4 linked regions of the Saccharomyces cerevisiae S288C genome follow. The gene in region 4 interacts genetically with the main gene of each other region. Each region holds a gene or a part of one and is shown on either strand. Other genes may lie near its edges.

What was found.
Region 1: mutations in TBF1 (region 4) and LDB16 together harm fitness more than expected from each alone (negative genetic interaction), as found in Saccharomyces cerevisiae (2 studies listed by BioGRID).
Region 2: mutations in TBF1 (region 4) and USO1 together harm fitness more than expected from each alone (negative genetic interaction), as found in Saccharomyces cerevisiae (2 studies listed by BioGRID).
Region 3: mutations in TBF1 (region 4) and RSC2 impair growth when combined (synthetic growth defect), as found in Saccharomyces cerevisiae (one study listed by BioGRID).

Annotation. Positions count from the first base shown.
Region 1 is NC_001135.5:106,223-109,347, reverse strand, and holds LDB16 (Ldb16p), read right to left. Parts: upstream 1,328-3,125; coding exon 557-1,327; downstream 1-556. Other genes in the region: PGS1 (CDP-diacylglycerol--glycerol-3-phosphate 3-phosphatidyltransferase), read right to left, coding at 1-243; VMA9 (H(+)-transporting V0 sector ATPase subunit e), read right to left, coding at 1,931-2,060, 2,157-2,237, 2,315-2,325; ubiquitin-binding ESCRT-I subunit protein STP22, read left to right, coding at 2,495-3,125.
Region 2 is NC_001136.10:343,784-351,559, reverse strand, and holds USO1 (Uso1p), read right to left. Parts: upstream 5,896-7,776; coding exon 523-5,895; downstream 1-522. Other genes in the region: YDL057W (uncharacterized protein), read right to left, coding at 1-126; RAD59 (Rad59p), read left to right, coding at 6,607-7,323; small subunit rRNA maturation protein TSR1, read right to left, coding at 7,575-7,776. UniProt on the Saccharomyces cerevisiae protein: Required for protein transport from the ER to the Golgi complex.
Region 3 is NC_001144.5:839,657-844,500, reverse strand, and holds RSC2 (Rsc2p), read right to left. Parts: upstream 3,171-4,844; coding exon 501-3,170; downstream 1-500. Other genes in the region: adenylosuccinase ADE13, read right to left, coding at 1-219; YLR358C (uncharacterized protein), read left to right, coding at 451-1,014; ATG33 (Atg33p), read right to left, coding at 3,587-4,180. UniProt on the Saccharomyces cerevisiae protein: Component of the chromatin structure remodeling complex (RSC), which is involved in transcription regulation and nucleosome positioning. RSC is responsible for the transfer of a histone octamer from a nucleosome core particle to naked DNA.
Region 4 is NC_001148.4:305,980-309,728, forward strand, and holds TBF1 (Tbf1p), read right to left. Parts: upstream 2,243-3,749; coding exon 554-2,242; downstream 1-553. Other genes in the region: TATA-binding protein-associated factor TAF14, read left to right, coding at 1-158; HHO1 (histone H1), read right to left, coding at 2,849-3,625. UniProt on the Saccharomyces cerevisiae protein: Binds the telomeric double-stranded TTAGGG repeat and negatively regulates telomere length. Involved in the regulation of gene expression. 52 binding sites have been identified, distributed over 15 chromosomes.

The sequences.
Region 1 (3,125 bases), on a different chromosome or scaffold from region 4:
TATTTTTGTCTTCAAGAGATCGTAAAACTGAGATGGAGATTCGATTATATCGATTTCTTTTGCTTGGAAATGAAAGCATGTTTGTAAATTCTGTTGTAGGGACTTAGTGATCGTGTTCAAATAATTGCCAAATGGAGAAGGGTTCGCAGCGGACATCTGCCTTTTTATATTGAAGGGTTTCTGGAGAGGTAGGGATAATAATCTGTAATGAGGACGAGTGAGTTGGAGCAAACGAGTCGTCATTAATATATGTTATCCTGAGTATGCTATTAGCAATTATGGACAAGCTGGGTGTCCTACATTATATCTACTTTCTTGTGTGGGCTGCTTTTTAGGAGTGTTCGGGCGTGAATGTGTCCATGTGCTACTGCTTTTTTATTTATGTTTTCTTCTTCACACATGGGTTACTGGCAGAAAATAAAGAAGAGAGAGGATCAATATATATATATATATGCTAAAAGATTATAATATGAAACTTATTTAAAATCAGGCAGTTAGGAACTCAACATATTTCTATCATTCACTTGTTAGTGCATGAGAAGAAGTAATTGCAATATCACCTAGAATTCCTTCGTAAAATCTTTATATTAACGATGTCCGCATCACTGGCATTTCTTCGAAGCTTAGCTCTATTAGAAAGAGACATCAAAGTTTCATTGGTGACGAATGAGTTTTGGTAAGTGTCAGACCTATCCCAAATATCAGTGGGTTCATCGTCTGTGGTGGTCGTGTTGAATGAATCATTATTATAATGCTGAATTTTTTCGTTAGTAGGCGTTTGGCAAGGGGTGATGTAGCAGTTCACATCATGCGTTATAGTCATATCATCAGCTCCAGGCTCATCATGGAATTTTTTCATGTTAGGCTTTGATATATGCGTGGGATTGGGCTTAGGCATGGGTATTGGCGCAATAGTTTGTCCTCGCATAATGTTGACAATACTAGTGGAAGCACGTTCAAGGACCGTACGTATCGGAGCAAACCACCGTTTCCATTCTAGACTTATGTATACACTGGGTACCCCGCAGATTGAGTGGAACACACCCAATATAAATCCAAAGATGAGTCCTATGATGCTGCCAAAAGCACAAAGCACAGCAAAATATTGAAACAACGTCAAAACCACATAGAAGTCTAATGTGCTTGTTTGTGCAACTAAACGGCTCAGCGACGTCCCCAGGAACAACCTCAATGGGATGTTGATAGGCAATGCCACAAGCTGAAACCCATTCCATACGAAAATTGATAAAGGCAGTTGCACGAGGGCACGGAAGAGAGGTGAAATCACTCCCATGCATAGCTGCACGCTCCAATCCACCACAAACATATTGCGGCTAGTTATATACCTGCTTTCTCCTCCTACAGTTGCTGATGAAGCCCTAAATGGTTTCTTCTTTTAGTCGTTGCTCACCCGGCAGCTCTTTAGTTTTTTTTATTTTTTTTTTTTTCTTTTGAGATTTCTCACTATAAAAAAAGAAGAAATTACTTTAAATTGTTTGTCTATTCCAACATAATCATTAGCAGCACATGTCGAGCAACAGATAAACACAGCAGCGGCACGGTGAACCACATAAGTGTATGTGCACACGCGTGTTTTGTGCAGTGTATTACCAACTTGCGCATGCAAGGATATCACACTCCTGTTTCTGCCTCATGTCTTTTAAAACGCTTCCACGGGACATGGGTTCTAATTATGGAGAAGATCAAGCTTTGAAATGGCCCGTTTACACATTTTGATACAACCGTAGACGGCGTCTCGTTTCAAAGACCGTGTGGTTGTCTATCAGTATATACTCATTGTGTTTTTCAAAAAATCTCTGGGTTGTTTAGATGCCACTATATTTCTATTCGTATTTATTTTTATGTATACTTATTTTGCTTATTTTTCTTATACTCAGGAAACGTCACTTGGCTTGATATACTCGACGCTTTATTCTGCAAATTCAGGTCTCAAATCTGAACGGCGTGGAGCCACCAAGGGATGGAGCTGGCAAAGGAACGTAATGGCCCACATCAAAAACATCATGGCCAATGTCAAAATCACTGTACTTCTCCAAACACTGTACGACAAAACAAAACAAACAAACTCTTGTTAGTAAAAAAGAAAGGGAAACTAGTAATATGGAGACACATCGTAAAAAAAATGTTGCACATACGCTTGGTTGTTCTTTGGAGCCATTATCCAGAACAGCACGGACATGGCACTAACCACTATGAATACACCAACAACAGTATAGCTAAATTGGACGCGCAGAGAGTTAGTAGAAGAAGAAGGAAGAAAAGGGAAGCGGAGAGAAGAGATTATGACACATACAAACTACTCATTACTCTTTGTTCTTTATTATTCGTTGGACCTTTGTTTCTTAAAGTATAGATAAAAGGTCAAAAAATGTAGTAGTCTTTTTTCACAGAGCGAGAATAAAAAGTTACGGCAAAATTTTGTGGGCAGTTGGTATCTTAACGGCCAAGAAAAGAGAGAGAGTGAAGAGCAACGATGTCTGCAAACGGCAAGATCTCTGTTCCCGAGGCGGTGGTCAATTGGCTGTTCAAAGTCATTCAACCCATTTATAACGACGGAAGAACAACTTTCCACGATTCTTTAGCGCTGCTGGACAATTTTCACAGTTTAAGGCCAAGAACAAGGGTATTTACGCACTCTGACGGCACTCCACAACTACTGTTGTCCATATATGGTACCATTAGTACTGGTGAGGATGGTTCATCTCCTCACAGTATTCCTGTGATCATGTGGGTACCCAGTATGTACCCGGTAAAACCTCCCTTTATAAGTATAAACTTGGAAAATTTCGACATGAACACCATCAGTAGTTCCTTGCCCATTCAAGAATACATCGACTCCAATGGGTGGATTGCGCTGCCCATACTCCACTGCTGGGATCCTGCCGCGATGAACCTTATAATGGTCGTACAAGAATTAATGAGTCTCTTACACGAGCCGCCACAAGATCAGGCGCCCAGTCTACCCCCTAAGCCCAATACGCAGCTCCAGCAGGAGCAGAATACTCCCCCACTGCCCCCAAAGCCCAAGTCTCCACACCTAAAACCGCCATTGCCTCCACCTCCACCACCTCAACCGGCATCTAACGCACTCGACCTTATGGACA
Region 2 (7,776 bases), on a different chromosome or scaffold from region 4:
AGCCGCAATTTGATAAGATAAGCCGTTCATTGTACTTGTAATATATACGAATTTTTCATTTGCTTCCAATTTGATATAGGAGGGGGGAGCACTTTGTATTTGCACAGTGACATGTTTTTTTTCCATTTCGACTTGGTTATTTGACAAATATTCCCTTTTCTGATCTTTTTAGTACTTTCATCACTCCTGTAGATCTGCATCGGCTTTTCGCTATTTTTCCTTGGCTTATTATAATGCGTAAGCGTTTCTCGACAGAGATATTGCGACGCTGAGAAAAAAAAAGGAAGTTCTATGCAAGGGACATTAATGATATATTAGACAATTGTCTACGTGAGCTCACATATTGTTTGCACAAACTATACTTTAATTAGAAGGCGTGAAGTAATGTTAGATGTTATAGAAAATATAACATTTAGTGTCAGTAAAATGTATATATGCATATATAATTACAAAAAAGTAGTGCTGCCCACATAATCAAACAGATCGTTCAAGCGATTTGTTTATGCACATATTTTAACTCTATCATGCCACTTGCCCTTCTTCCTCGTCTTCTTCATCATCTTCTTCATCATCCTCTTCATCCGAACTAATTTCAACGCCCAAATCCTTCAGCTTTGAGCGATATTTGGCGTTTTTCTCATCTAGGTCAGTAACCAAGAGCATCAAGTCATCAATTTCCGAACGATCTTCGTTAGCTTCCTTCAACTTAGAGTTCTCTGCCTTCAAGTTATCCAGTTCTTTAGCCAACTTTTCAATTTCTTGTCTCTGAGAATCGGTTGTCTTTTTAACAGTATCTTCATCCCTTTTCCATGCTTGCTCTTTATTCACCAAATCGTTGTATTTAGTTTCAAGCAACATGGCTTTTTCATCAAGTTGAGACTTTTCGACTTGAAACTTCCTGACTTCGGCCCTACGTTCTTCCTCGGATTTTTGTGCCTTCTGTTGGGTGCTATCTAATTCCTGTTCTAATTCCTTGAGGCGCGAAGTTAGTAATTCTTTTTCTTCTTGATTACTTTTTATTTCGGCTTGCTTGTCTTTGAGTTCACGTTCTATATCTTCTAATTTAGATTTCAAAACTGTATTTTCTTCTGCGTTGATCCTTATTTTTTCTTGTGCGTTATTTAGCTCTTGTTTTACGGTTTCTAGTTCAGAGCCAGATTTTGCTTCGATCCTCAGTTTACTTTTCAGTTCTTCAATATCCTTTTCAGATTCGTTGATTCGGGATATCAAATCTGACTTCTCATGTTGCAAGTTTTTAATATCCTCCTCAGCACTTTTTTTCGACTGTTCTAATTTTTCATCTGATTTCCTTATGGTTTCCATTGAGGATTTCAACTCCGTTTCATTGCTCTCAATCGTACTCTCTAGCTTTTTCATCATTTCTTTAGACTTTTCAAGCTCTGCTTTCTCTTTTGAAGATTCTTCCTCAAGTTTTTTCAGCCCTTCTTCAACTTTAGCTTTGGATTCTTGTGCAGCCCGGAGTTGTTCTTTCAAGCTCTCCAGGTCTCGTTTATTATCTCGCTCTATTGATAGAAGCTTTTCGTCATTTCTAGTTATTTTGTCTTTATATGAAAGAATTTCATCTTGTAAGCTTTTTATTGTGTTTTGTTTCTCTTCTAAAAGCTCATCATTGCTTAAACTAACCTTCTCTAGTTCACTCCTCGTATTATCGATCTCTTTGGCTTTTAATTCGTTTTCATTTTGTAGCCTAATTAATTCATCTTCCAAAGTATTGATCTTTTCAGAATATTCTTGTGTAATTGTTGAAGATCCTTCATTAAGTAGCTTTCTTTCCTTTTCGAAGGCCTGATTTTTGATTTGTATTTCATTTTTCAATTTTTCCAATTGCTCCTCTGCATTTTTTCTTTCCTCAGAAGATGTCTTCTTCAATCTAGACAACTCAGATTCTGATTTCTCCTTGGCCTTAGATAAATTAGTGATCTTTTCCAATTGAATTTTTAGTTCAGTCGTTTTAGCATCTAGTTCTTCTTTTATCTTCTCCGATTCCTTCTGTAGCTCCAAATATTTAGAGTTCTTATCTTCTGAGGCCTTGAGTTTGTCTTCCAATTCACTAACTTCCTTTTCTTTAAAGTTACATTCGTCTTGTAATTCTTTAATTTTTACCGTTTCTGATTCTACACTTTTGATTGACTCCAATAAACTGGCTTCGTTCGTTTCGTTCTTCTTTTTCAGCTCTTTAATTTGCAAATTTAAGGCATCAATCTCTGACTTTTTCAAATTTGATTGTTCCTCTGAAGTGCTCTTCATTGCTTTAACTTCGCCCTCCAGTTCGTCATTTTTTTTCTTAATTGATTCATTTTCTTGTTGAGTGGAAGTAATCTCATCATTTAATTGAGATATTTCCTCGTTATATTGCCTTTCCTTGTTGGCAATTTGCTCCTCGTACTTCTTCAACTGAGCTGCTAAATCTTCATGCTCTTTTTCTAATGATTCTAAATTGGCACGTAGGCTGTTGAGTTGCTGTTTGGTTTCAGTGGCCTCCTTCTCGAGTTGAATTTTCTCTTCTTTTAAATGCTCCTCGTTTTCTTTAACTTCTTTCAAAGCTTTCTCTGAAGTTTCTAGTTTTGTTTCAAGTTCATTTTTGAGATTTTTATAAGCTGCTAACTCGGCTTCCAGCTCTTCCCTAGTTTTAGTCAATTCTGAGATTTTATTCACGTTTTCATCGTTTGCTGTTGTCGCCGTTTCTAATTTTTCTTTCAAGAGACTAATCTGGGACTCATATTCATCTTTTGAAGAATCGGATTTTGAGATAATTTCCTCCTTCGTTTGTTCTAAGTCAGAGATGGTTTTTTTTAGTTGTTCGATATTTTTTTCTATACTGCCTCTTTCTATTTGAAAATTTTCTTTTTCCTGTGACATAGAATCAATTTTATTTTGCAAATTAGACAATTGTATGCTGCTTTCGTTTTTTGACTCTTCTACAGCTTTTATTAGAGACTCATTTTCAGCTTGCATATCCTTATAGTTATTTGCTAAGGATTTCAATTTTTCTGTTAGTTTCGCTACTAGATTGTCATGACTCTGAAAGCGGGATTTGTACTCAACAAGTTCCTTCGAAATATGTTCCTTTTCTTTTGATAAATTATTACATTGAATTTTCATTTCTTCCAGATTTTCATTGATAGCTTTTATTTCAGTAATTTTTGCCGCAATATCTTCTTTTAGTGATTTAGTCTCTTTCTGATGGTTGACATTGCTTTTATCTTTTTCCTTCTGTAAATTTTTACAATTCTCCTCAACTGCTTGCATCTCTCTACTCAGAGCGAATAAATCTTTACCCATTTTGTTTATACCATCTTCTGCCTTTTTCTTTTGAGACAAAATAGTTTCAAGTCCTTTTTCTAAAGTTTTGATAGAGTCTTCTTGTTTGTGGATTGTGCTTTTGTACTCCAGTAAAGCAGTTTGATTTTCTTTGTCCTTAGTTTCCAGTACATCTCTCAGTTGCGTCATTTCATCCAAGGAATCTCTGACGTTCTTCAATTCAGTTTCCAAAATGGAAAAGTTTTCTTTCAACGAAGAATGTGAGGAATTCAAAATTTGGTATTTCTCATCCAACTCTTTGTGTTCATTAGTCAACGCAATCAATTTTTCGGTGAGGTTCTCATGGGTGCTTTCCGTTTCTGTTTGCAAAGAAGTTATCTCACCCTTCAATTTTGTACATTGCCTCTGTAATTTTTCGACTTCTTCGAAAGATATTTTATTGATTGGCTCTTCGTCAGGGTCGTGAGACAATGCAGTTCTGATCCTGTATATGTTTTCATTAAATAACTGTATGAAGTAAGTGCTGAAATAAACTTTTGGTAAACCAGTTTCATCAAGCTCCGGAGTTAGTATACTGTCTTCATTCATATCAACTTTTGAGAAATATGAATCTTTTTTAAATTGTTTGATTCGAGAAGCATAATTGTCTTTTCCCAAAGTTTTAGTGATGAATTCGAAGTATTCCTTTCTTGGGAATGGAGATTCTTTCGAGGAAAACTCGTATGCCACACCTAGTAACATTGTTACAAGGCATTTGATAGTAACGTCTTCATCTTGAATTTGGTAAGAGAAGGAAAGCAAGGATTTAATCACGGATTTATCCGAAAGAAAATCGTTCGTGGCCTTAAAGTCGCCAAAGAGCCAATATATTAGGAACGTTAAGTAGGAAATAGGAATTCTTATGTCAGCAGCAGTAAGGGAAGTAGTTAGCAATTCACTTATTGTTTGAATTGCCTTTAAGGGTTCTTCGTCTTCGAGATCGTTACCGGTGGTAACATTTCTTGTTATTTCACGTAGTTCTTCGCTATATTTGTGATCCTGTTGGAAAAAAAACATAAAAATATCAGTTGTGAAGAATAATTTAAAAGGGTTCAGATTCAATTCTGCGTCATAATTTAACAGGACTTCGAATAGATTTGCCTTGAAAGAACCTTCATATTCAGTGCCATCCTTCCCGTCGGTATCTTTATCTGAATCACTTTCTTTATCAGATTTGTTAGAACCACCATTTTCTTTAGCATTGTCGCCGACATTATTTGTTGAATTATTACACAATTGGACTTGTTTTAGTAAAAAATCTCTTTGAAGATCAAAATTATCCATGAAATAAGCCTTTAATAGTCTAGAACACGCAACTCTTGTATCAAACGTGTGAACGGAGTTGGCATAGAGCATCCAATTTATCAAGATGCTGACTACAGGAATTAATTTAATTGGACCACCGTTTGCAGTAGAGTTTACAGGTAATGAAGGATCGAAATATGGAACATCGATCTTACTAAACTCTAGCTGTGCATGTTCATTACTTCTAACCATGTTTGCGGCAGTCAAAAGAGCAACCGGTCTAACTTTTTTTGGGATATTATGAAAGAATGCAAGTCGCAACACAACCATTAATACGCTTGAGTCAAGCAACGCATTTTGATGCTTAGTGGTGACAGTATTTCCTGGCTCTACTGTTAGGCTGACGATATCTAAAGCTGTATTGATATTAACTATCCTTTGATCATTCCAAAAAAAAACTTCATCTTGAGATATTGGTTCACTCAAAAGGTGTGCCAGTTTTGGCAAGTTTCCTGTCTCAAGGAATAAAGTTTGATTAGAAGTGTTATACTTCAGGATGTTATTGATCAACGATAAACAATCATTGACGACGAGAGAGCCTCTTAACCCACCTTCTTCTTCGATGATGGAAAAGAGCCTTTCAAAAATGTTTTCAAAAGCAACCAATTTTTGAACGTGAGGTGAATCGTTCACTACTGCCATTAATAATAAAATAGCTTCATCCCTGATGGGCTCATGCATGTCATCTAGGAGTGAGACCATTGTGGATATGCTCGTTGGAAGTGAAATCAAAGCACTTCTCGCCTTCAACGGCCTCGTGGCCATCACTGCCTCTAGTAATTGAATTGTGTACAATCTAATATGGAAATTATCGATTTCCCAAAATTCAACAAGTAGGTGAATTAAATCTTCAGACTGCGTCAAAGCATCAGCAATCCATAACGAGAACTGATCTACTTGTTCCTTTTCTTGCTTCATCACCAATGGTGAGGGATACTTGCCATTCTGCAACCGCGATTGTTGAGAAATCCAACCTCTAGTTAAGTCGTCATGGCCATCGCCTCTGATGAAAAGAATCAAAATTGTTTCTAATATAGCCTTTACCGAATCTTCATCCATATAATCACGTTTCAAAGTATTGAGCAACGGTTTTAGCCCGGATGCAATCACTGATTCTCTATACTGCCGGCTAAATGCCTTTAATCCCAGCACAGCGGATCTCCTATCGCTAATCAAAGTGGAGTTCTCAACTCGATCGCACAACGTCGGAATGGTTTCATCCACAGATTGAATTTTTGGTTGCTGTATCAGTCCTTGAATGATGTCCATTCTTGATAGGAGGGTTGTTATAGATATTAATCACTCGAAGTCGTGAACAAGAATTGTCTTCTCTCCAGTATTCAGTCTCTGTGATGTCTAAACCCTGTTAATGTGCAAGGTCTATTTTTTTCGTAAGAACCACGCGCTTTAGGCTTTATTTCTGGTAATAATAGCAAGAAATAAGAACAGACAGTTGCAAATCTAAACGACTGTCCAAACGAAAGTATCAAGTTCGCTAAATTTACTTCGAAGACAGAAGCCAGTAAATTTTGTTTTCTTCATGGAAATAGTTTCCAAAAAGTTCTTAGTAATTACCATATGTTCTTGTATGTGGCGCTGCGAAAGAAAGGTTAGCCGACCGGCATCACCCATAATTGTATAATATAGCAATGAAGCAACTTGTTGAAGTTTTCTTTAAAGTACTATAGTATTGAATAATATCATGTTCACTTGATAAAATTGGGTATTTTATTGACCATTATATCGCGTTGGACACTAATGTCTTTCAAGTTGGTGTCACGTCACGTGCTTTTCAATGTACTGGGGCAAATTGATTAGAGGAAGCCACAGTTTGGCAAGGGCAGATATGATAGGAAGCAGTAACGGCAAGGAAGGATAAGAACATCATTGAGGGAGTCTGTGGCAGTTTAGCACATGCTTTGGACCATTAAAGGGTTACGTAGAGGAGAAGAGCATATTTCAGGATAAACAGACAAAATAATGACGATACAAGCGAAGCCCAGTTCGAGCATATCGTATGATTCGACTACATACGGCACAGCACCGGGCTTGGATATAAAAGAGTTCCAAATCATCGAAGATTGGAATGGAAGACCTGCCAGCGCTTGGTCGGTGCAGAGGATTGGGCTTCTACAGTCCAAGATCGAAAGGTACACGTACAATATTTACCACAATAATAAATATGGGAAGCACAACTTATCTAAGCTGATACCAGGGCATGCTCTCATTCAGTTCGCTAATGAAACATTCGGGTATGATGGTTGGCGAATGGATGTTATAGATGTTGAGGCCCGGGAGTGCCAGCCCTTCACCGCAGTAAATAATGGAGAAAACACCAACACTAGTGAGGTCAAGTATACAGTTGTGGCAGAAGCCCAAGTAAAGGTTACCTTAAAGGATGGCACCAACACACAGTGTGGTGGGCTAGGTAGAATTACTTTGTCCTCGAGAGGTGAATGTTATAACAGGTCGAAAAAAGAGGCTGTAGGCGATGCGTTAAAGAAGGCGTTATTGAGCTTTGAAAAAATCATACTCGATTATGAGACTAAGATTACAAATAATTACTATGTCGATGGCTTGTATGGCTCAAAAAAAATTAAAAATGAAGCTAACACCAATTACAACTTATTGTCAGCGACTAATAGCAAGCCGACTTTTATCAAATTGGAGGATGCTAAAGGCACGCATATCAAATAAAAAAAAAAAGAAAGAAAAAGGGCACAAGTAGCAAATTTATTTTGCTTGATAAAAAGTCATAATTTTCACATAATGCATTAATACCTCTACAAAATAAGTGGCATTTGTATTTGATGCGAACGGAACAGGTATCGACTTACCTTTATCAACAGTATCGTTGATACTATTTTATTAGCATTATATTATACAAATAGATCTCACGTACTTATATATATATATATATATATATATACGTGTATATTTTTATCACTTTACATACCATTCCAAGGTAACGAAGGCATGGGCCACATACGTTTGTACAAGGACATAGCAACAACATCCTGCGCAGATAATTTACCATCAAATGTAGCCTTGAAATAACCATGCGTACCCAAACTTTCTTTAATGAAACCTGACCTACCTGATTTGGTGAACAGTGGGATAGACTTGAACCATTCCACATCTTCTGGTCTG
Region 3 (4,844 bases), on a different chromosome or scaffold from region 4:
TTTTGCGATTTCATCATCAGTGATTTCGACGTGTTTGCGCATTTGCTCAATTGCTTCATCTGTAACAACAGTTAAGCCCAATTCCTTCTCAGCAATAGCCAAATTTAACCATAGTTTTCTCCATGTGGAAAATCTGTTTCTCAAAGAAAACGTTGCTGACATTTCCTTGGAGGCATATCTAGAAGACAATGGCGTAGTGTAATTGTCATAGTCAGGCATCTTTTATATAATTCGGATAGTTTATTTCACTTTAGTTGTAGCAACTTACTGGAAAAGCTTTGGTCCTTGGGGAAGAAATTTTGAGAGGTTGGTGATGAAGTATAATTGTTTTATATGGCTACTATTAATACAACGATAATATATCTATAGATGACTTTCTTCTATATAATAACTTCTGTTTTATTTCATTTTCCTGCTTTGTTTGAAGTTTGACTCTGCTCGCGGAGGGTAATGCGCAATGGGAAGATATTATGCTGCCATTGCTTTTACAATAAAGGTGATCATGAAGACGACGAAGGAGGCCGCAGCATAGAGAGTCTGTGCGCCGTGAACTTAGCCGAGGGTCTTAATCCAAGGACAAATGGGCCTGGCAAGGACTCTTTCTCATTTTCAACATCCGGTTCTAAGCCATCATCATCTTTGTCCTTTCCAGTCACATCTTCCATGGTTTCTTCAACTTCTTCGTATTCTAGTTTTCTTTTCTTGTTAGTGGTAAACCACCTATTCAGTGGCAGGCTTAGGTGTGGGTCACCTGAATTTATTATTCGTTCATTTACTATCACACTAGGTCCTCTGAACCATAATATTTCACCCTTTGTTTTTTTCCATGGAAACATCTCTTCTCTTCCAGATCTCTTGGTTTGGCTGTGCAGATCAGTACGCTGCAAAACATCTACGTTTTTGGTTATAGAGATAGGTAAGACAAACGAGGAGGCTGCATCGATCATTATATTACCCAAATTACCTCTTGATGCCTGCGATGTTAAATCATCGATTATTGTTGGGATATTATAACGTGATGCTTGGGATCTTTTCTGTTGTTGGTATTGATGTTGCTGCTGTTGTAACCTTTGCAATTGGTGTTGCTTTAAACCTTGTACAGTAAGCGGGCCTCCCGCGCCAGGGGAACCAACTCTTGACAGTGGTATTTGTTGCTGGCCAATAGCATTTTGGTTTTCTAAAGACATAGATGACCTGTTATATCTTAAACTGGATAGTTTACTACTTGAGTATCCTGTTTTAGGAAGAGCATTTGCTGTTGGCGTGTTTGTGGTGATCGTACCTGTTTCTATATCCACTTGTCCCTCTTCGGGAGAATCGTTGGGTCTGATAATATACCTGGGACAGTCATCAGAGGTTGCATATTCCCCCAAATCGTCACGCTGCATTTTAGGTCTCATATAAACGGCACCGACCAATGGTGGCGCGTCCGGGGATCCCATCGTTGGTTCAGGAACGCGATCATGCGGCGTTGCATTAGCTGGTAGTAGATGTCTTATGGGGGAAGGATATTTGAAGAACTTTCTACCATTTACCGGAATGGTAGCTTCGTCCAAATCACGAATTTCCTCTGGTAAGCAAGCCTTCCAGGTTCTAATCTTGTTAAAAATTTTATCGGATTCATTATAACGGAATTCGCAAACGAACAAGGGACCCTCCAATTTCATATCGGGATTACCACGTTGATATCTAGTAAAGTGAATCACATAGCATTTCCCAACTAAGTTTGACACTAAATGATCACGGTACTGACCTGTTTTCATAACTTCGTTTTTGTAAAACAATCTATCCACTCTATGCACAGTTTGTTCGGGTCTGTAATACCAACAAGCGTTTAACCATTGTTTCCCATCTGGTGTCTTCCATAGCCTGAATATTTGGCCCACTATAGGTTTTTGAGGATCATTTTGATTTCGAAGAAGTGCCCAATCTCCCACGTGGTATGATATATTATTTACAATGACTTCATCTAGAGGGTATCTTAGCTCGCCTTCTGGAATGAAACTTCTATCAGGTTTGGATAGTTCGAATCTTGCCAGACTAGTAAAGGTCTTTTCTAAGATATTTGAAATTTTTATGCTTTCAGGATCACCTCTGTGCGAAATTCTAAAGTTGGTTAACATAAGATTAAAATCATTCTGGAACTCCTGGAACGTTTTATAACGACGAGTCTTTACCTTTTTATTTATGTCTTGAAGACTAATTGGATTAGCAATCATGATGTAGTAATTTGCATCTCTGTGTCTATCGGGCAATCTTTCAAAAAGATCAGTTAGACCAATTCCACTATCTAGCACCTCTTTTTTTAGTACTTTCATAACATTTTTCATTCTTTGAATATACGGTAAGTCGATGATTGGGGGTCTCCCACGCTTTACCTGAGTTCTGGATACCTGTCTATGCCTTGGGCCTAACGGCTGAGGGGTGCCTGAGTGAGATGGAGTAGTGGACCTGTTGTCTCTTAATGGTTTCCGAGTATATGGATTAATATTTATTAGTGGCTTTCTTATCAAATCAGGAAAATCAGCATCCTTAGGGTTATCGATATCCATATCCGTCGCCTCATAGTCCTCATCATTATTTGTATCGGTTCCTGGTTCTGATTCTCTTTTGACGGAAGTACGAGTCTTTCTTAATCTTCTGGCTGCTTCTGTTGAATTCATTGAAGAGCTCGACTCGGCTCTGGCTGCATTAGCTCTCGCTACTTCCTCAGCTTTTTCTCTTAATTTCTGTTGAAACTCTTCATAACCTGGTTCATCGGGTAGAGGACCCAAATCAGGATACACTAATTGAGGATATTTTTCTTTTAAATTTGGATAGATTGTGTCCTTTAAATATTTCTCAAGGACTAAGGCGTATTTATAAATTCCTGAATCTCTTGTATTGTAAGTCTTGGCATTCCATGGAATCTGGACAACATCGTTCATAAACTGTTGAGCATCTGTATAATGTGGAATACGCTTTTTTAAAGTATTGAAAGATACAGGGTTCTTGATCACTGCGTAGTAGTCAGGATAATCCTTTTTAGGTGGAAGGACATTGAATATTGGTGAAATCTCTAACCCAGAATCTTCCTTTAAAGTGAAAAGAGATTCATATTCTTTCCTCAGGTCCTTGTATAATGCGCTTGAGTTTTGAGTGGACGAGTTTGAATTGTCATCAGGCATCATGCACTGTCAATGTAGAATATTCTCCGCTTCGTCTGGTTCTGCGCGACGTGCTGTATATTTGATCACGTATTGAACTGTTACCAATACTTTTTTCAGCTGTGTTGTTTTCTCTATTTTCTCACTTTAACATGCGAATTTTCGCACGACTCTCGGCCGGGTGAGAAAAGTCAGTGACAGTAATAAACCAAGTGCAAGAGCACCTACAAATGTGCTTATTACAGTGTATTATTATGTATATATGTGCATACGTGTGTGTATGCACAATTTTTGAACATACTGTCTTTTGAACGTTTGAAAACTCGTAGGAATATATAAAAAAACTGCAAATTACTACACACTTTATTTTTGGAGAGAGAGAGGAGCCGAGTTCAGGCAGCTACAAATTCTTGTAGAGATAAATACGTGAACGAGAAACACTAGATAAATTGTCCTTCCCCATAAACGCCAATAACGGCTTGTACAAAGCCAACAATAGCAATAGCAGTTGCTGCAATTAGATTTTTAGTATGGATTGGGGGACCGGTGTGCAATGCCTCTGCCGGCTTTGATACTGTGGTTGCTGCAGGCTTCCCGTCTCGAGGTGTATTTTCTGAAGCATGGTTGTCTTCACCTAAATCAATAATAGAATCGCTCAGTTCGGAAGCAGCGAGTTTGCTGTCTTCGGGAAATAAAGAAGATTCCTTAGAGACTTTACTGTACTTTCTAGACTGATAGTTGGAGGCACATCCTAGAACAAATGAAGATAATGGAGCTACAAGCATACCATAGAGTAAGTAGGGGTGTCTCAATGAGGGAGGAGCGCCGAAAAAGCTCACACAAAAGAAAGTTGACGCAAACGCTCCCAAGGCGGTGGCCGCATTTTTCAAAGTGGTTAAAGTGGGAGTAAGGGATCCTGTTAAAACCTCTAGTGGAGTAGTAGATGTAATCAATGAAGCGGAAGCCAAAAGACCAGAGTAGAGGCCTATAGAAGAAACTGCGATACCTTTTGTGATGGCTAAACAAACAGACATCTTTTTATATGTTTTTACTTCTGTATATCGTGAAGTAGTAAGTGATAAGCGAATTTGGCTAAGAACGTTGTAAGTGAACAAGGGACCTCTTTTGCCTTTCAAAAAAGGATTAAATGGAGTTAATCATTGAGATTTAGTTTTCGTTAGATTCTGTATCCCTAAATAACTCCCTTACCCGACGGGAAGGCACAAAAGACTTGAATAATAGCAAACGGCCAGTAGCCAAGACCAAATAATACTAGAGTTAACTGATGGTCTTAAACAGGCATTACGTGGTGAACTCCAAGACCAATATACAAAATATCGATAAGTTATTCTTGCCCACCAATTTAAGGAGCCTACATCAGGACAGTAGTACCATTCCTCAGAGAAGAGGTATACATAACAAGAAAATCGCGTGAACACCTTATATAACTTAGCCCGTTATTGAGCTAAAAAACCTTGCAAAATTTCCTATGAATAAGAATACTTCAGACGTGATAAAAATTTACTTTCTAACTCTTCTCACGCTGCCCCTATCTGTTCTTCCGCTCTACCGTGAGAAATAAAGCATCGAGTACGGCAGTTCGCTGTCACTGAACTAAAACAATAAGGCTAGTTCGAATGATGAACTTGCTTGCTGTCAAACTTCTGAGTTGCCGCTGATGTGACACTGTGACAATAA
Region 4 (3,749 bases):
ACCTGGTTGGTGTTGTTCAAATGGTTACCGACAATAAAACACCAGAAATGAACGTGACGAATAATGTTGAAGAGGGTGAATTTATAATTGACTTGTATAGTTTACCTGAGGGATTATTGAAAAGTCTATGGGACTACGTTAAGAAAAATACCGAGTAATAAAAGGTAAAAGGGCGTTAAATGCGCGCTTTTATGTTTGTATAAATAAAACACGTTGATATTTTGTCTTATATAAACTTTATTCCAATAACCGCGACACCTTACCAAACACATATTATTACAACACATTTTTATCTTGGATTTTAAGTAATTATACAACAGTTTTCATTTTAGAAAATGAGAACATCAAATATATACATTCCAATGTAATAGAAAATGGAAAAGAAAAAAGAATAAAAAGAAAAACACGAGGGGACCAGGTTGCTAGAAGATAGGGTGACCACGTCAAAAGAATATACCTAGGGAACCAAACAATGCGAAGTTAACAACCCATCAAAGTATTTTTAATAGTGAGTGGTTCAATAGAAAATTAGAAGTCTGTTCATTTAAGCGCGCTACATCCCATCTTCTAAATGAGGATCAAAACCTGTATTGTCCGATGTACTATTGCCAAAAAGTCCGTTAGATGGCATATTATCACTATTTTGCCCATGTGAATCCTCTTGATGAGTTTGAGTGTCTTCAGTAGCAGATGCAGCTGATGAAGGATGCTGAGATAAATTTTGTTCCATAATAGTTGACGAATTTGGAGATTGAGAGAATTTTTTCTTTGCCTTGTAGATTTTCTCCAAGTTACCGGTCACTTTTATCAAATAGTCAGGCAATGGTTTGCCACTCTTCAAGTATTGTAATTTCCAATTACGGGCTTTATCTTTCAGTTGTACCTGCGTCCTGTTCTTCAAATTTTCCGTGATTTTACCACCGGGACCATATAAATCTAGAATCTTAGACCACGATGGGCCAACCTCTTTCAGGCCTTCCACTAATGCTTCTTCTTCCTCTTTGGACCAAGTTCTTTTCGCCTTTGGTTTTCTTAATCCGATACTACCATTATTGTTGCTGTTACTGCTGTTGTTATGAGAGGAATGAGGACCAGAGCTGCTGTTGCTCATCGAGGCCGCAACAGCGGCATCCACAATGGATTGTGTGATAGCGGGGTTTTTGGAAGACACATCTGTGGTAGGTGTATGTGTGCTGTAATGATTCGGACGAGCAGTTGACAAAAAAGCAGACGCACTGCTTGGCTGATTTTGGTCGTCCATGAATTCTACGGTCCTGGTCCCTGTAGAAAAGAGTACTTGAGGATCAAACTCGTTGACATCAAAGTCATATAATGGTGATTTTCCGCGACCCTTTCTGCCCCATATGATGAGACCCATATTTTTATTACAATAATCCAGCAACTCTCTGATAAATTGAGCCCATTCGTAGCTCTGGGTCAGAGAGTTAAAATCTTGGACGATCTTTAAATTTTCTCTCCGACGATCGCACCTTTCGACGAAGTCCTTCTCCGATGGAGTCAAAAGTGTAATGTCTCCAGAATCGCCGGTTCTTCTCTGCACGAGAATATCAGCCAGATTGGATGGGAAGATTAAGTCTAGTAGCTCTTGTTTCTTTTCTAAAGAAATTTCGTTCGTCTCGTCCTGAAACTCTTTCAAGCCGGCAATGTAAGCCTGTGTTTTCAGATCAAGATATAGGATAGCCTGCGATTTCAAAAACTTTCCGCTTTGTTCCAGGGAGTTGTTACCGACAGTGTTTGTATTTGGACAGAAAATATCGAGAAATATCGACTGTAGCAGCTCAAACCCGTAATTAAGGCAGTTCAGCGACGTCAATAGAAATGTTAGCAGATTCGCCTTTCTTATGGCAGTAATAATAAACGCTTCGTGGCCTCTCAATATAAGGGGGGGAGGGGAGTTGGGAAACCATAAACCAGGCGCCACGTCGTGAACAGACAGTAACGGAGATCTGGTGTGGTAAATCATTCTGATCTGCTTAAAGAGCTTGACTAACGTTTGAAAAATTTCTGTTTCGCCTGAGCTTAGGAAAGCCGTCTGGTCCGTCAAAACCGCTATAATATTGGGAGAGTTGGCATTAAGGATAAGAAACCTCAGTAGTTGAGTGGAGATATTGTCCAGCAGACATAATGAGCATATGGTCAACCTAGTTCTTGCAGGCAGGCTTTGGATGATGTCATTGAAGCGGTTTAAGCTTTCGTTATTATTGGGCACTTGCGAATCCATGACAAATGGGGAAAGAAGTGAGTAAAGAAAAACTAATGTAAAATGATTTCTGTCGCAGATGGGACAGCCACAATCTTAAATGTTGGCAAGGATATAGGAGCAAAACGCCAATATTGAGATGATTGTTTATTATAATGTTTACAAGGAAGGGCAAAGCATTGAGGAAAATTAGTCGGAATGAGGTCTCGCCGGGCTTCTACGGAAAGGGGCGAAAATTAATAGGGCACGGTGCAGAATATTAGGGCTTCAAATGTTCAGATTTTAAAGCCTTTTCTTCAAATACAATAATTAATTTTACACACTGTACCTTGCATATATAAGAGAAGAGAAATTTATAAACAGTATAGTTAGTTAGTTAAGAATGGAATTTGAATAAAATCATAAAGGAGATATTTACCGAATAAGTAACAAATAGAGAAGGGAGAGATTAAAAAATGAAAATTTACAGTACCGCCAACAAACACTTGAATAAGATTGAAAATTAGAGAGAAAAAAATTTAGAAATAATACAAAATACTAATAGTGATGGGACACAAAAATGAAGAAAGAAAATAGGTTTGATAGTATTGCTATCACCATTGACATTCTCGTTTGGATATTCACTTTTTACGTGGAGAGTTTGACCTTCTTCTTGTTTAGTTTAATAATGCCGGAGGGGCCCTTTGGTTGCACTAACTCGCCGTTTTCAACACATTTCTTGATAGCGCTATTGAACAGATAGTCAAAATTTGAGCTTGTTTTCAACTTGGAGGAGAAAGTGTCCTTGACATACTTCTTTAAAACGATACGGCTGGAGCCCTTACCGTCATTAAGTTGAGGCATGCTTTTAAGGATCATTTCCTTGTAGGTCAATGAAGAAGGCGAAGAGGCCTTCTTGGCGGTAACAGTAGGCGATTTTTTTTTCACTACTTTCTTTGGCGCTAGCTTCGTGGATGCGGCTTTCGCTTTTGATGCGGTTGCACTCACAGAAGTGGCGGCTTGCTTGGGTTTTGGACTGACCTCTTTTTCTTTCTTTACTTCTGGAGATTTCTTCTTGGCCAGTTTCACAGCACCAGCGGGTCCCTTTGGCTGTTCAAAATCGCCGGCCTCCACACCCTTCTTTATGGCATTGTTGAAGTACAAATCAAAGTTGCTTGCGGATCCGACGATCGGGTAGTTTTCCTTGATAAACTTCTTGAGTGCCGGACGACTGGATCCCTTACGTTCCTTCAAAGCCGTGAGCCCTTCAATGATCAACTCCCTGTAACTCTTGGAGGAAGCTTCCTCCTTTTTTGCCGTGGTTTTCTTGATAGCGGCCTTGGAAGTTGATTTCTCCTTGCCTTTGCTGGTTGCAGGCTTCTTGCCCTTACTTGTGGTCTTGGTAGTGGATTTCTTGGGTGCCATGTTGCTTTAGTTGTATTATAATTGCTTCCCTCGCTGCCAAGCATTATCAGGTGCCCATAAATAACAACTCCCCAAATCTATAGTTGCTCCTCCTCTTTAAATAAAGGCAGATAAACAAAAAACT